Linked DNA regions of Lepisosteus oculatus. The protein of the gene in region 1 interacts with the protein of each later gene in a biochemical or structural test. Links are inferred from orthologs where the notes say so. Each region holds a gene or a part of one and is shown on either strand. Other genes may lie near its edges.

Region 1 (7,788 bases):
TTTACTTCCTTTCCAGCACAATTTTAATACACAAATAATTTCATTTTTTTATCACAAAAGATTTGAAGACTCAAAATGATGTACAATCAGTACTAAAAAACACTTTCCATTGTATTTCCACAGTTTTTCTTTATCTGGAATAAATGTGATGCTTGAGAAGAAGTGCTGAAAGAAATAGCTTAACAAAACTTTATTTTGGGTTTTACTGCTGCACCTTCCTTTTTCTGTGAATACTATTTACTTCTCCCTACATTGCAGCTCAATGCTGTACTTTTAAATTGCAATAAAAGTACAATGTATGCTACTTTAATGATATATTTTTCTCATTAATTTCTTGAGGACAGTATTAACATCATAAGAATAAAAAAAATATTTCAATGTTTTCAGAATGCTGCCATTTAATTTGACATGCAAAATACAAGAGAACAGTGTTTATTTACGGTACCTTGCTCGTCCACCCTGTGGTTTTCACCTTAACTGGAAACAAAAACTCTAAAGCCTTTACATACAGGCATGCAAATTCATACAACTGTGTTCAGAAACCTAAAGTCAAGCTATAAACAGATCAGTCTAAGGAAGTCAGCTTTAGGCATGAAAAGTTTGCTTCCAGTTTCTTAATCATTAACAAAAGTGTTTTTATCCCCTTGCAATCAGCAGTGTGTGTCTATTATAATCGTGAGGTCCAGCAATTAATGTGTTAGGGTTAGTCCAATGGAAGCCATTTTTTAATTAAGCAAAAACACACAAATGACATGTTGTGAACCTGATTCTACAGCATGCATACAATTTCAGAATCATTCTTCCCTGATTACTTTTAAGAGACAAATACTTTGCTAGTTCTCACTGGTAACTCACATGAAAGCTATTTGGAAATAAAATCACATAAAATAAATGTGAAAATAAAATGGCAGCCCTTACATTGTTATTTAGGGGTTTTCTGATTATTAATTTACCCGTGGTTAGTTTAATTAGCTCAATGGTTAAACAGCAATTATTTAAAACTAGCAACAATTTATTTTCAAAGGCATGCTATATTTCATGTATGTAAATTCATACTGCTACTGTACACATGAATGGAAATAAAGACACAATGGTGAACTTATGGGAGTAACATCATAAAATGAGACAAAATGAATAAGAGCACTGTATTGACAATACTGTACTGTAGGTCTTGGACTTACTGCAGGAAACTCAAACTCTTAGATTAAAGATTCTCTGTTTTGCATGACAACATCACTACAACTATTAGATGCCAAATTTCTAGGGAGATAATTTAATTTAATACACGGAGCATTAAAACTTGCCTTTTGAATGTTTGGTTTAAAAATGTACAAAAATAAACTGAAAAATATTAATCACTAAAATCCTTCTGTTTATGTAGAGTTCCTGCACTGTATGAAATGTCATCATGGCAGTAGAATTCAGGATTTATATTATTTGTTAATTAACAGGAATTTAAATAGGACTAAATATCCCCTTTGTTACATTTTTCCATATATTTCTTTTCTTTCTGTATAATTATTAAAATACATTTTTTATTAATTTTATTGTACCTAGGCAGGACCTGTGCTAACCCAACTCCCCTCATGGGATATAACTCAACACTTGTTAATGTATTGTAAAAAAATAGTACTGTACTTGCAAACTTTAGTACAATTATATTTTTTCTTGATGTAAATTTCAAGGTTAAGCATACAGTACAGGTACTTCTGTCTGTAAACATATGAATCAAATAAAGCATTATCTTAAATCAATAAATCATACGAGCTAAGTGAACATAATGTTGTTCAACACTGCCATAACAGTGCCCTAAAGTGCATTTAAAAGTACATTTGAAAAAAAAAATAAAGTACTTTATATGCTTCATATATGTTTAAATATACTACCTTCCATGTTATTGCTAAGGACTAATATTAGTATTTCACAGTTTGTGTTAATCAGAAATGGGTGGGATGGTTTAGAAGAAGTGCTAAAAAGAAATGTTTGACTGCGAAAACATTATTTTCCACTTTCCAACTATTCTGCCTTCCTTTCTCTGTGAATACTAGTTCCCTTTCTCTGTATTACAGGACAAACATCCTAAAAATATTGTGTTCAAAAAACGCAAAAGCAACTCCAATGTGCAGCATTGGACTCCATTTCAATAATACATTTACACTACGTTCACTGTAATTTACAAGAAAGCTGACTATATACAGAATGCAACTTTAAATTAAATGTAAAAGATCAGTTACTTTAAAATGTGTTTAAAAGATATGAGCTTAACATATTAAAACTTGAGTTTACTTGACACACACAAAATTATCCTGTCTGAAAAAATAATATGTACTGTAGATAACCTAAATGTAATTTTAGGTTTAATAGTCCTGGTCATTTTTGTTAATTTAATAGAAAATAAAAAGAAAACGGTCACTGCTTCTGGCGCTTGCTTCGAAACATTAGAAATTAAAGAAGTCAAAAGAAAAATATATTTTACTATTAATAACGACGTACAAAGAGCCTCTACATATATATCATACAGTATGTATACAACACTATCATTAAATCATATCGAGATTCACTTGAGCTCTCACACAGTCAATTAAATAAAACAAATAGTGGAAAATTGCTCAGGTGCCTTTCATTTTTCTTTTGATCCAAAGTATTTCATTTACAGTGTGGCTAGCACTTTACTTTTTCATAAACTCTCTTTCAAAAAATAAAATCCCACAACATTAATTCATCCATACATTCAGTAGTCAATCAATAAGCAAAAACGTTACCTTTCACGTAGGTCCAAAACCTTTTCTAGCTGTCTCTGTGCTCGGAGAAAGAAGCAACCATATTCAACTGCTTGTGAAGTGAACAGGATGTGGTCTGGCTCTTCTTGGATATTTTGAAGTGATCACTCTGGAAGAATTTGTATCAGGAGGTGACATGAGTTTAGAAAATTGATCAACAGCAAATTGGAACTTTAACTTGACAATAAATTCTATATATATTTAACGCAATGTATTACTAATGTGTGTTACATTAAAGAGGTTACAAGACTTGAGTTTTTTGCAGAGGCCAGAGTACAATGTGGAAGTGTAATTTAGCTTCCCCTTTTTAACAGCTTGCAGCTACTTCCTTGACTTTTTTTTCTAGAATATGACTTCCCCTTTTGTCCAAAGTCTGTCTTGATTTAAAACATCAATATATGTATGTACTGTATGGTATGTAGATAGATGTATATGTGTCCATGTCGGAATGAATTTTTTTAAAAAATGTGGTTCAGGCATGCCTGTTCAATCATACAGAAAACAGGGCTTTAAAAGTATTGTAAAAAAGACAAACTACTATGCTGACAAACTCCTGTACAGTATGTGAGGATAATATTTGCAGTTTACTGTATGTACAGTATAGCAAATACCGTTATGCAATATAATACATTGAGTGAAGTAATATGATAGTTTGCTTAGACCTGGTAATGAAAATATTCTTACTGTATGATATTTTCTTACTGATAGGAAAATATATACAATATCTGGGTATCTTTGCATACATAATATCTACACTGTATGTTTGGGTTACAAACAACTACTATTACTGTAAGAAGTAATTCTTATTTACTACTACTGCAGAGTAAATAAATACAAGGCTTGTATTCAAACTATAAAGAAAGGCTTTAAGAGTTTCATCAATGCAATATAATGGGCACAGCAAAATTCACAATTTTGTAACTATTAACATTTTTCACTTTTCTTTTCATTTAAAAAAGTGTACATTTGAAAAATGAGTCATATGTAATATAAACTAATTTTTAAAAACTTTAACTTGACAATCAATCACTTGGTTATTGCATTCTAATACAATAGTATTAGAAATTTAGAAATTAACAACACAGGTTAGAAATTAACAGCATTGATATGGAATCAATCAATCAGACAGGCAGTCAGTCTGTGAATCTTTCAAATTGCAGTGAGCATAACAAATCTCTTGAAAAAAAGAGCGAAGAGACTTTGAACCAGTCAATTTAGTTTTTAGTAAAGATCAGAAAAGGTCTTGGTCTAAGCTGATGCTTGGAACCATATTTATAACATACAGTTGTACTATATAACATAAAAAAACAGAAATATGTGTGGAATCCATTTCATAATTAGAACGTCGTGGAAACATAAAGACATTTTTAATGAATTTATTTTAAACAGCCTTCTTTGACACTCAAAACTGACATCTAGTGGTTGTTCTTGGTTTATACAAACAGCACATCCCTCCTTCAATTTTCTAACAGCTTTATCCAATTCAAGAGTTGTAGAGGGTCCAGAGCCTATCCTGGTAAACAGCGGGCAAAGTAGGATGCAGGATACACCCTGGATGGGACACCAGTCCATTACAGGGTACACACAGACAGAAACACACACACTTACAGTATAACACAGCCCATTTTCCCAGAAACCAATGAATTTACCATTATATTTTTGGATTGTGGGAGGAAACCAGAGCAGCCAGAAGTAGCCCACATGAAGGGAGAACTTACTGTACAAACTCCATGCAGATAGCACCCTAGGTCTGTAAGTGAACTTGAGGCTCCAGTGTTGAAAGGCTGCAATGTTAACCACTGTAGCCACCATGCTTCCCACATAGACTACAATTATTTTTTAACACTATTTTTATTAATAGTGTATGATATAATTTTTCAAAGAGCTTGAAAGAGTACAATGTAAAATCTCACCTTTTCAGTTTATAAATAAATCTGTCCTTTATCTGTCCTTTAAGTTATGTGTTCAGCTCTTCCCATTTTTTCATTTTGGCGTATCTTTGGTCTGGATTAAATCAGAACTTCAGCCCACCTTCCAATGACAGAATTACAAACCCCTTACTCAATGGTGGGGTACAAAAGGAGGAGAAGGAGTAAGTATTCGTAAAACTCACAATATTACACTAGGTCTGTGTAGTTTCGTTGACAGGCAAGTTGAAGTTTTTATTTCATCCAGGTTTTACATATAAATTAACACGGAATTGCTTCAGGCTTGTGTCCAAACCACAGGTGAGAGAACAAGGACTACATAAAGCTCGTTTTAAAGATATGTGTTTTTTTAAACAAATGACCATGGTGTGGGAACTACCATTATGTGGTGTTGTTATTTTTCAAAATAACAAGCATGCACATGGAAGAGCTACCCGGTATCACTGGCAGTGTTATACTGAAATGTTTCTGTAAGAAGAGTTGGGCTGTAAGGCTCACTGCAAGGCTCCCGCAAGCTAGACCCTGGTCTAGAAAAATATTCAGACAGTAAGCTGGCTAAGCCTTGGTCCACATCTGTATCCTAGATTCAGATCTTAGCTGAAAAAAGTCCAGAAGAGCCAGTAACCATAAACCAGTCACATCTGATTGTATTTAAGACTTATGACAGCTAAACGCTAGGATATAACCCTGACTTTACAAGCAGAGAACTTAAACTAACGCAGACCAGCTCCTAACTTAAAGACAACAGAGGGACACCACTTTTCCATGAGGTACAATACATTAAGAAATGTGAGCAAAGTTCGACTCCTCTCCTTCCTCTCCTCATCATCCACCCCACTCCCCACCTTTTTCCTCCTCTTTCCCCCTTTCTATCCCACTGTCCTCATAGGACACCTCCACAGTTACTGACACTCACTGTGCCCCATGGGTTCATCAGTATTAGTCTCAGCTGGGCATGGCCTCCTCACTCATACATTTTGCCGACCCCCTACTCACTACATCCATTCAGTATAGTGTCGGCCCCCAACTTTAATTCCACCCCCAAGCATCTATCTAAAAATGGTGAAAAATATTTTTTAAGGTCATACTTTGCTCACTAAAATAAACATGTTAAATGAAAAACAGTTTTCTTCCAATCCCAAAAGAAACACTGATGTAGGACTCCCTTCTCCAGATTCCAGATGCCAGGATGTAGGTTGTCAGTTTTGATGACATCTGCTAAAAATCTGCTACACAAGCTAGTGAACATCAGTCCACTTCTGCAACCTGTTTGTTTTTCCCTGAGTCTAGTTGGAGTTGTTTCTTCATTGTTTCAGTAGCTTTGAAAAATTTGGAGCACCTTTGGCTAGGCCTTTTGGTATTCCACTTTCAGATTTAAAGACATGTCTGCCTATAACTACAATACAGTATGTCCATATACAGGTAAAGGCTAGATGATTTTGTAGCATTCTAAGTACCAACTTGCACTGATGTTTTTCCATTTATATTTGAGCCAATTAATCATTATTGTTCTGACCTGTAATAATGTATGCTTATGCTAGCAACTATTTTTAAATTTACTATTTTTAGTCAACCTCTCCAGAGTTATAATGTTCTTTGTACTGTTCATACTGAGACTGTAAATGGCTTAAGACTGCAGATGAAAGCATGGTGTTGTTCCAAAGTCCCAGCAGATGGCAGACTCTGCCTATCAGACTTCTCACGAAGCTCACTGTAAACTCATCGTGCTTTTCTTCTTCTAGTCTGTGTGTGTAAAAACTAGAACAAAGAACACTTTGAAATAAAGAGAGATTAAGGCAACATAATTACAACTGTTTCTTTCACTATTTAATTTTATGCTAAATCTTAAATTGTACTTGTATGTGCTATGTGGAAATTAGATCCAGTATATTTACATGTTGCCTTGCAACCAAAAGCATTTGCTTTTCTGTAAAATGAAAACATACTGTACTGTATCGCATGGTTAATCAAGCAACATAACTTTTCCTGTCAATAAACGTGAGTTTCAGCAAGAGCTAGCTGTCTCAAAACTTAAGAACATCCGATAAATTACAAATAAAAGTGGGCCATTAGGCCAGTCTTGCTCATTTGATTTTTCAGTAACAAAATGACACACAGCTATATCCTGATTGAAGCCTGAGAAGCAGCTTCAACCATCATACTGTAGCTTGCCAGTTTGTACTGTACTCCTTCAAGTTCCTCCTCTCTTCTTAGTTTTTAATGCACTTTGTTATGGTTTGCACTTGTGTTCTCTGACTCTTGTCCCATTTCCATAAAAAAGAAATTATTCACTCCAATACAAAGAAATGTACTAGTATAACATTTTAGTTAATGGAACATCTTCAGGTCAAGTGCAGGTCAGGACAATTATTCTATAGCCAGAAAGAGGATGAATGCTGTCAAAGCAGAATAGACTGCAGAGCTAGTAAGTTGCCTCTGTATTTTAATTAAACAGCTTTACTTTCCCATATGAAAAAGGATTTCTTTTTTAGAAACCTAAAAAAACAGAGTCTGGGGGCCTGTGACATTTGTGTTCATGAAACAAGGCTCACTGCTAACCAAAAAGTAGATAGAGAATATTGGAATAGCAAAATGCCAACATAGATTAAGAAAAAGGTTTGCTCAGAACACTTTTTGTAATTCTTGAACAAATGATGGCAGTAGTGGACATAAACAGAGAAATGGTATATTAAGATAAATATTATACATTAAATAATCTAAATATATGTTTTAAGTAGAACTATCTTTCTATAGAAAACACTAATTGTAAGAAGGATAAATCCTAAAGGAGCACAGATACAGGGTGAATGTTCAAATGGGAGCTGTGTAAATTCTGGAGTACCACAGGGAACTGCACTAGGTCCATTATTTTTTATGTATATTTATGGTCTATTTTCTGGAATAATTAATTAACTAGTCAAGTTTACATATGATGTAAAAACAGGAGGGTAGTAAACTGTAAACATTGCAAAGGAAATTTTTAAATGTATAAAAAAATCAAGACTCAGCTAACAGTGGCAACATTTATAGTGGGCAACATTTATGTGCAGAATGTTACATGCAGACAGAAAAAGTTCTCA
Region 2 (7,978 bases), on another chromosome or scaffold:
CGAATAATTATAAAAATACGTACCCATCCCGATAGGAAAGACATTCTCCCCTTTCCTTATGTTGCCAGTAACAATCAACGTGTTCTGTACTGTTCAGCTGGGCCTGTACTTCAACAGTTTCGTGTTTCTCAATTTCCATTTTGGTCACCTTCCCCGCAGGAGAGACACAGGTCCCGTTCTGCATTTTTAGCACGGAAGCTCCACATGTGATTTTCGACCTGACACTCTAAATAAGAAAAACAACATAATTTTTCTTCTTTCACGAGTTAACGATTCGAAATTTCTGGTTAACGAAGGGCGTGGAAAGACCCGGGCCTTAATTAAAATAAATTAGCAAACCAGTTATCAGAATATGTAATATGACAAACGAATACATTTTCCCTTCTTTCTTTTTAGCAGAATCTGTAAAGCCTCTGGTTTAATTTGAGCTGGGTGTGTTGAAACATTCCCTCATTGAGGTTTGCATGTGTCGCTTGTGAGCTGAGCTAGCAGAAAGGACGACTGTTTCGGTACTAGTTAGGGGAGGCGCGGTACAATTTTTTTTTTCTGATTCCAGCATGGCAGTCTCGGCCTCGGAGACACTAAAACTCCGCTTAATTTGGTGGGTGAATGCCTTTAAACCAACCGAAACCTCACATGGAGTGCTAAAGAAAAGAAAAATCACTCCTCCACAGGCCTCTGGAAGTGTAGCTCTCGTTGGAAACGCTGCCAGCACAATATAGGCAGCTCTTTGGTAAGACGAGCTCCACATGTCCATCGGAGGACAATCAGAGGAGTCTCTGATCTGTAGCTCTGCTGCAAACTGCATCGCCCTGGTTACACAAGGACGTCGTGCCAGGCTTCACTGCCAGAGAAGGGGTGACTTTTAGATCCCCCGTGTCTTCTTCAAATCAGTTGTCTCTCTTACCTTACGCGTCACGAAACATTGGACTTGGGGCACCGTCCCACCGCCTGGCGCTTCAGCCGACAGCAGCGGAAGAGTGACAGCTGCAATATACAGAAAGCGTCCGCTGAGTAACTCCAGGCAAGCAACAGGGACGATTCACTGAAGCACTCGATGGGCTGGAGTAGTGTACCGAACGTCTTGGTCGTATAGGTGCCCGGCTTGGCCAGTAAGACAAAGAATGAGTCCAACTGTGTAATGAGCTCAGATAGATCAAAAAAGAGACATCCATCCGTGACGGTGGTATCGTTGCCATGGTTTACAGGCAAGATCAGAAACTTTAAGCACCGTGTAGTTGTGTTTCAAGATATTTTGGCCTATATGTTTTTAAAAAAAAAAAACACGTTTAGAAAACATTCTTAAGTTTTCCGTCGAGGTTTAAAACGAGCTAATGAAAACGCTCCTAACAGAAGATAACTGTTTTTTTTTAGAGAGAAATACCTTCACAAATAAAAAATTGTTTCAGTATAAAGTCTACAGTATCAGATGCGCAAGCTATATGGAATATACACAGAATTGAGTACAGGAGGCAGATATTCAATCGGCTAAAGGGAAAAATAATATATGAATGATGGAAAATTATTTCTAAAGACTTCGGTTCCACTGTAAGTTACTGTTAATATTAATAATGATAACAATAAAATGATGTAAACAACACCTTATTCAAATACAGACAATAATTCTCATTTTTCGCTACCACCCTTCCCTTTAACAGCTGAAATAAGTTTTGTCTCTGAAGATGTTATCTGGCAGTGAAAGGAATTGGCCAGTTTGATATTTTTACTCAATTGCTCTGAACACAAATCTGTAGATTTGACTGAGCTGGTTTTCGCCGCTGCCATCGATCAGACCAGGTGAACAGGTTGTTGTGTGGAAAGCCGGCGGAAATTACGGTCAATAAATTAATACATTCATTTATTAATTTGAGTTAAACAGCAACGTTGCAATGTGTGACATTGAAAATAAATGTTAGGTTAGTTTTTTATGTTTTGTGTAGAGCTTGCATGTAGTCATAAAGGATTATAGGTGCTGCGTACTGTATACAAGCAGGAGTATTTTGTTGGTTGACAGACTCATCCGATTATTTTCATATCCGTTTTAACGTCAGAGCTGAAAGTCAAATAATTACTCAGCAAGACGCCTAAATGGTGCATATTATAACTTCTAAAATTACAAACGGTTACGTCTCTTCGCTATAAATTTGTGTCAATAGTTTTTGTTATTTGGTGACTTAATCTTTTTTTAAGTGTTTACAACCGTTTGGTTTTGAGCGCAGCTAGGAATGACACAATGACAAAAACCGTCCACCAACAAGATAACGATTTAAGAAGAAGGTATTGTGGTATTAAAACTAAAATGTGCGTCCGTCATAGTTTTAGGTCAAAACACTGCTTTTAAGTATAAGATCAAGGCCTTGTTTAGCATCTTTGCGGTTTTTGGTGTACTGGGTATTGATATATTTAGAAATGGCGATAAAGAACTTGTTACTACTATCTTTCGACGGATTTTAATGAACTGTTCTCCCTCGCTGTCTTTATTTGAATCTTTATGTTCTCACTTAAGAAAATCGAGGACGGAAAAGTCCCGTGGGTTGAATTATGTTTAATTGTAAAATTACACGGTCATTTAAACAAGGTCAACATTAATAGCCGCTGAACGAGCTGCTGAGATCATCGTAATTAAGAGAGGCGCTGCGGAGCCCCTTCGGCGTAGTCTCCGACACGGACCTGTTACGGTGCGTGTGTAAAAGATCACGAATTTGACACAAATACCACAGTCGTTCTGAAAAAAAAAACGATTAACTCTGTGAAGCCGCAAGAGAATAGAACTGTTTACCATTTGCAGCATTGTGAATTCATTCAAAGCATCACATGGTAGATATCAAAGTGCCTTGATTCTGTCTGGGCGCGGTGGCGCTGCGCCTCACTTACCCAGCAGAACGATTTCCTTGCAGAAGGTTTGCATCGCAAATCGCCCCATTACCGTAAATCAGCCTGTTTCATCGTGCACGTCCAAGACTGTGCACTAAAACAGAGAGCGGTGGACTTCAAAAAGAAGAACTTCGCACACGGCACTGCCCGACAAAAGGTTACGCCTGCCCGTCTCTGCGTCACGTTACCAACTTTCAGTGGTGTTGAGGTGGAGCTCAACTCAGCTCATGAGCCGGAGAGCAGAGTCCACGCACAATTCAGGTGCATTGCTCTGAATCTGAATTAGCATCCCCAAAGTGCAAATACATGAAAATGGTGTAATTCCACCTGACCTTCATGCCACACACTGTACATACAGTATACACTGTACTACTGTGCCGCAGTCTTAATTCTGCTATTCACAATTATTTTCCTGCTGTAAAATTCGAGGATCCTGGTGCGGTTCCCTTTAAGGAAGGAAATTCAAACAGTTCAAGGAGGTTCAGGTGCAATTCTGCTGCAATTACCTCTCTTCAGTATATTTAATCACTGTTCCATCAAGCACACAAAACCAACCATAGCCGTCTACCTCGACAAACAAACAAAAAATGCATGCTCACACTCGCCCACACAATTCCTCTCACACAGCTTGAGCTTCGAAAGGCTATAATTGCTGCAAGTTTGACCATTTAATTTAGTATTGTAGATGATAGAGGAAAAAACTTAATTCATGCTGAGGAAAACGTGATAAGGAATCAATAAGGTTTAAATGGGAAAGTGGATTCGCTGCTGAAACATTTTCTATGAGCCGCTAAACCATTTACTTTGAGCTGCCCTGATGAGGCTTTTGAACTTTCTATACTAATGTGAATTCATTGAATATAAATTGATGCATTGTGAATGATGGGAGCAGTCAGGGACGCCCTGCAGGTGGACGGTGCCGGATTTAGCCTGTAAGTAAATCTGAGTGTCATCAACATAGCGGCAGCATGGACATACTAAACTGCAAAGGCCTCAGCACAGAACCCTGGGGAACTCCATAACCGTCACAATGTCACAAGCATGACAAATGCTGATTTAAAGCAGTTTATTAATTGGGTTCTGTTATGTATTGACAAAAGTGGAAATGGTTTTGCAATTTAAACAGTTTTAATTAACATAACTTGTCAGGGACATTTGTTTACTGACTACATGAATCCAGTGGGACCACAATTCCTTAAATTCCTTAAGCCAGTCAAGAGCCAAATCAAAGGATGTATCAGTGATCCCTAGATAATTTTTCATGTGCTCTTTTTTAAGCCTGTCACGAATGACAGTAACAACAGCTTCAGTTAAATCAGGAAGAAGAATATTAAGCCATCCAGCATTAGATATCATTGAGCAAATCATTCTCTTAACGAGTGCTGTTTCAGTAATGTCCTTGGTAAAATCATAACTGGGAAAGTTGAAAGAGCTAAATACTTGTAAGATAAAATCATAGATGTCCTAGGAATGGACCCGAAATTTCACTGGTACAGCAACAGTTTGATAAAAGGGAATATTAAGAATACATAAAAGTTATTGAACAGGCATATTTTAATGAAAGAAGTGTCTCTATAATTATTTATACATGTATAAATGTTTTCATTTATAATACTTCTTGATCTAATAAATCTCATATGTTAGTCTTTAAAGTAATGAATACATAACCTTTCAGTGCAAAACTTTCAGCCACCTTAATCCAATACCTGAATTCTTCAAACTGTATGCAAAGTAAACAACAACAACAACAACAACATATGATTCATGACTTTTCCAAAAGCAGTGAGGTGGAGGAATATATATAGTTCAAACATGTTTATTTAACTTCCTATCTTTAGCAATATTTTTATCTTTATTTAAAAATCTTTTGCTGGGTCAATGGCAGAACCCGAGCATGGAAACAAGCACACTAGAGAGACAACGTTTCCCACAAGGAGAGTGCAAAGCTACCTCTGAAATTGATGAGGGCACTGCTGAACTCCATAACAGAAGGCGCATCACAAGTAGGTGCGATCTCGTAGTGACACGTAACAAAGCACCCAGCACCGACAGGGCAATGACTAACGATGCAAAACTCTCAAACTGGTAAGCAGCGCTGATTAACCTAGAATCCACCTGCCACCTCGCAGAGGCAGACTTTACGAAGTTACGGGGCTCGGTCGCCACAGCCTGGCCATCCAAAACTGCGCGATACAAGGCAGACGTGTCGACTCAGAGCTCGGCTTGCTCTGCTCCCACCGCCTGCCGTCTGAGGTACAGACAGGGCTACCACCTTCTGCTACACTGACTGGGAAGTGTCCCTCCCCAGATCAGAAGCGCGCCTCCCTGTACTCACTCCCAGACCCTACCGTGAAGGTAAGGATCAGCTACTGCACAGTAGTGTATTGTGAGTGCGGCACTGGCAGTATGTGCCTGTCACAGAGTAGCGCTGCCCGGACCCACACAGCCTAGCCAGGTCCATTTTATTTGGCCCTAATCAGTCCACTTTATTTTTCCCTTCCACTTATCTAAAAAAAAAAAAATCTCATGACGACTGTCTCATGCACATTTGTCGTACGGTGTTTTTCTCTTCCCCGGTTCCTTCAAAGCGCCTCGCATTTGGCAGCGCTGTCGCGGGCCATGCCAGGGCGGCCGTTCAGAGCGAATTGCGCGTAACTGCGCTACCTGGGGTCCCTGCTGGGCGCCGGTCTGTCTCAGTGCGCCATCCGATCAGCGGACAGAGCAGATTTGGAAACGCCACGGGGGGACATTGTCTTGCCAGGACGGTGCAACCTGTTTGTTGGAGACCACCGCCTTTCTCGTGCGAACACGAGCGAAAGGAAGTCCTTTTTTTACTTTTTTGGGGGGGCTTTTTCGATCCGATCTCAAAACCTCCCCCCCGTAAATGAAATCGGATTTTTAGGTCGGAGATCCCAAGCTGATAAAGATGGTCGCTCGGAGGCAGCTGAGGGTCTCAGCGCAGTTTGCTCTGGTTGGATTGCCTCTCTACCCACAATGCAGCTGTCTGCTCATGCTCAGCGAAGTGATTCCAGAGGAAGAGAGGAAGAAAAAAACACAACAGTGAAGTGAAAGAAACTTCCCTGTGCGTGTAGCGCCCTGGGACCCCAGCCGTGGATATTGTTCCAGCACGTACAAAAGGACGGCCGATTCAGGAAGCAAAAGCACCCAAATACGCTGCATCGGGTCGCTCCGGCTTGCCCGTGTCTGGCGGCACCGCAGGCTTTGTCCCTACTGTTGAACGCTGCAAATAACCCACTTTGGTGTCTCGTCTGCTCGGCTTCGCTCTCTATGTTCGAGTATCTTCCGGCGGCCGCGGCGGTGGCGACAGCAGCAGCAGCAGCAGGGCCATGAACAGCGGGCTCCCAGCTTCAGCAACTCCGCTGGCGGGGGTCGGGATTCCCAGCGTCAAGGTGAAGTTCTGCCGGTACTACGCCAAGGACAAGACCTGCTTCTATGGAGACGAGTGTCAGTTCTTGCATGAGGACCCGTCCATGGCGGGCCTGGCGCTGCACGGCGGCGGAGGCAGCCCCGTCCCGCTCTCTCTGCCCGGGGGACCAGCGGCCGGATACCCACTCGGAGGAGCTGCAGGCGCCGGGCCGGGTGGCGGTGGGACAGGAGTGCCCAAAAAGGGCGACCCCCTCGGGCCAGCAGGCACGGGACTGGACGGACAGTTGCTTGCCAGTGAGACATCCCTTTCATTACTCACTACATCGGCGTGCATGCACGGAGGCCTAGCTCGGTCTCGCTTTGCCGCCCGCGCTGTCGCACTTGGTTTCCCCGGCCTGTAGCTATTGTGTGGAAATCGAGGCCGGGGCTCCGCGTTGGGCCTCCTCTTTCTCTGGGTAGCGGGGGAACTCCCCCAGAAAGTTTTAGTCCTTATTTAAAAAAACAAAACACTCTTCAAAGACCGGAGCTTTAGGCCAAACCGTTTGCACGGTTTCTTTTTTTAAAAAATCTTTTGCGGTTTTTTTTAATAATCCTGCACCGAGCCCGTTTTTTTTTTAAAGCAAGTGGTTTATTTTTCAAGTTTTCAGAAACTCTCTCTCTCTCTTAAAAAAAAAAAAAGGAGGGGTAACCTTTATGGGACCGAAGGCGCAGATAATGCCTGGCATCGCGACGATCGTGCATTTTTAATCGGTATCTAGATTAGCCAGCCAGGCAATAGGCGGTAAATGCGACACGGTTGCTGGTGATGTGAGATTTGAAAAATGCCAGGGCTGGTCGGCGAGTTCTTGGGGAGGGGGGTGGCTGATGATACAAAGTAGCGATGTTTGTTCTGCAAGGAGCCTGGGTCTCGGTGTTGGGGTTTTCATTTCGGGCACAAAAGGTGTGCAGTTGTTTACGTCTGTCCTAGCCGGCCCTCTGATTGGCTGCCCGCCGGGGGACCGCTTTGAGGCGCATGGGTATGGACGGGGGAGGACGCCGGGGCTATTTATCGATCCATATCGGCTGGGTGCGCGGGTAAACCAGCTCAGTCTCGGTCTGGGTCAGCAGGTGGCCGGTATGAGGAGCCAGGAGTCGGTGTCATTGTACGTCATTTCGGAGACATTGTTCGGTTTGGACCACGATGTTAAAGGAGCTAATAACGGAGTCGGGTCAGCCTTAGAAGAGTGAAACTGAAAAGAAAGAGACCACTTTCTTTTCAGTCACTAGCAGCACGGAAATAATAATAATAATTCCCCACACTTCTATAGGGCTTTTCTGGGTACTCCACTCAGTGCTCCTTACGGGTAATGGGGACTCCCCTCTATCAGCACCAGTGTGTAGCCCCACTTGGATTGTGCAACTATAGCCAAATTACACCAGTACACTCACCACACACCAACTCTCATTGGGAAGGAGAACATGGTGATGAAGCTAATTCATAGATGGGGATTTCTAGGAGGCCAGGGGAAAATTTGGCCAGGATACCAGGGTAACAGTCCTCCTCTTTTCGAGTAACACCCTGGGATTTTTAATGACCACAGAGAGTCAGGAACTCAGTTTTACATTTCATCCAAAGATCAGAATAATTGTTTTTGGCATGGTGTCCCCATCAGTGTACTGGGGCGTTAGGACCCACACAGACCGCAATGTGAGTGACCCCTGCTGATCCTTCCAACAC

What was found.
Region 2: of the proteins of syk (region 1) and flt3, one has a biochemical effect on the other in vitro, tested with the Homo sapiens proteins (2 studies listed by IntAct, with this or other methods). The link is inferred for Lepisosteus oculatus from reciprocal best matches to the Homo sapiens genes SYK and FLT3.

What each region holds. Positions count from the first base shown.
Region 1 is NC_090698.1:49,713,814-49,721,601, reverse strand, and holds the start of syk (tyrosine-protein kinase SYK), read right to left. Parts: upstream 3,077-7,788; 5' UTR 2,763-3,076; intron 1-2,762. UniProt on the Homo sapiens protein: Non-receptor tyrosine kinase which mediates signal transduction downstream of a variety of transmembrane receptors including classical immunoreceptors like the B-cell receptor (BCR).
Region 2 is NC_090700.1:5,713,733-5,721,710, forward strand, and holds the start of flt3 (receptor-type tyrosine-protein kinase FLT3), read right to left. Parts: upstream 3,003-7,978; 5' UTR 2,924-3,002; coding exon 2,875-2,923; intron 988-2,874; coding exon 908-987; intron 227-907; coding exon 24-226; intron 1-23. Other genes in the region: PAN2-PAN3 deadenylation complex subunit PAN3, read left to right, coding at 6,222-6,555. UniProt on the Homo sapiens protein: Tyrosine-protein kinase that acts as a cell-surface receptor for the cytokine FLT3LG and regulates differentiation, proliferation and survival of hematopoietic progenitor cells and of dendritic cells.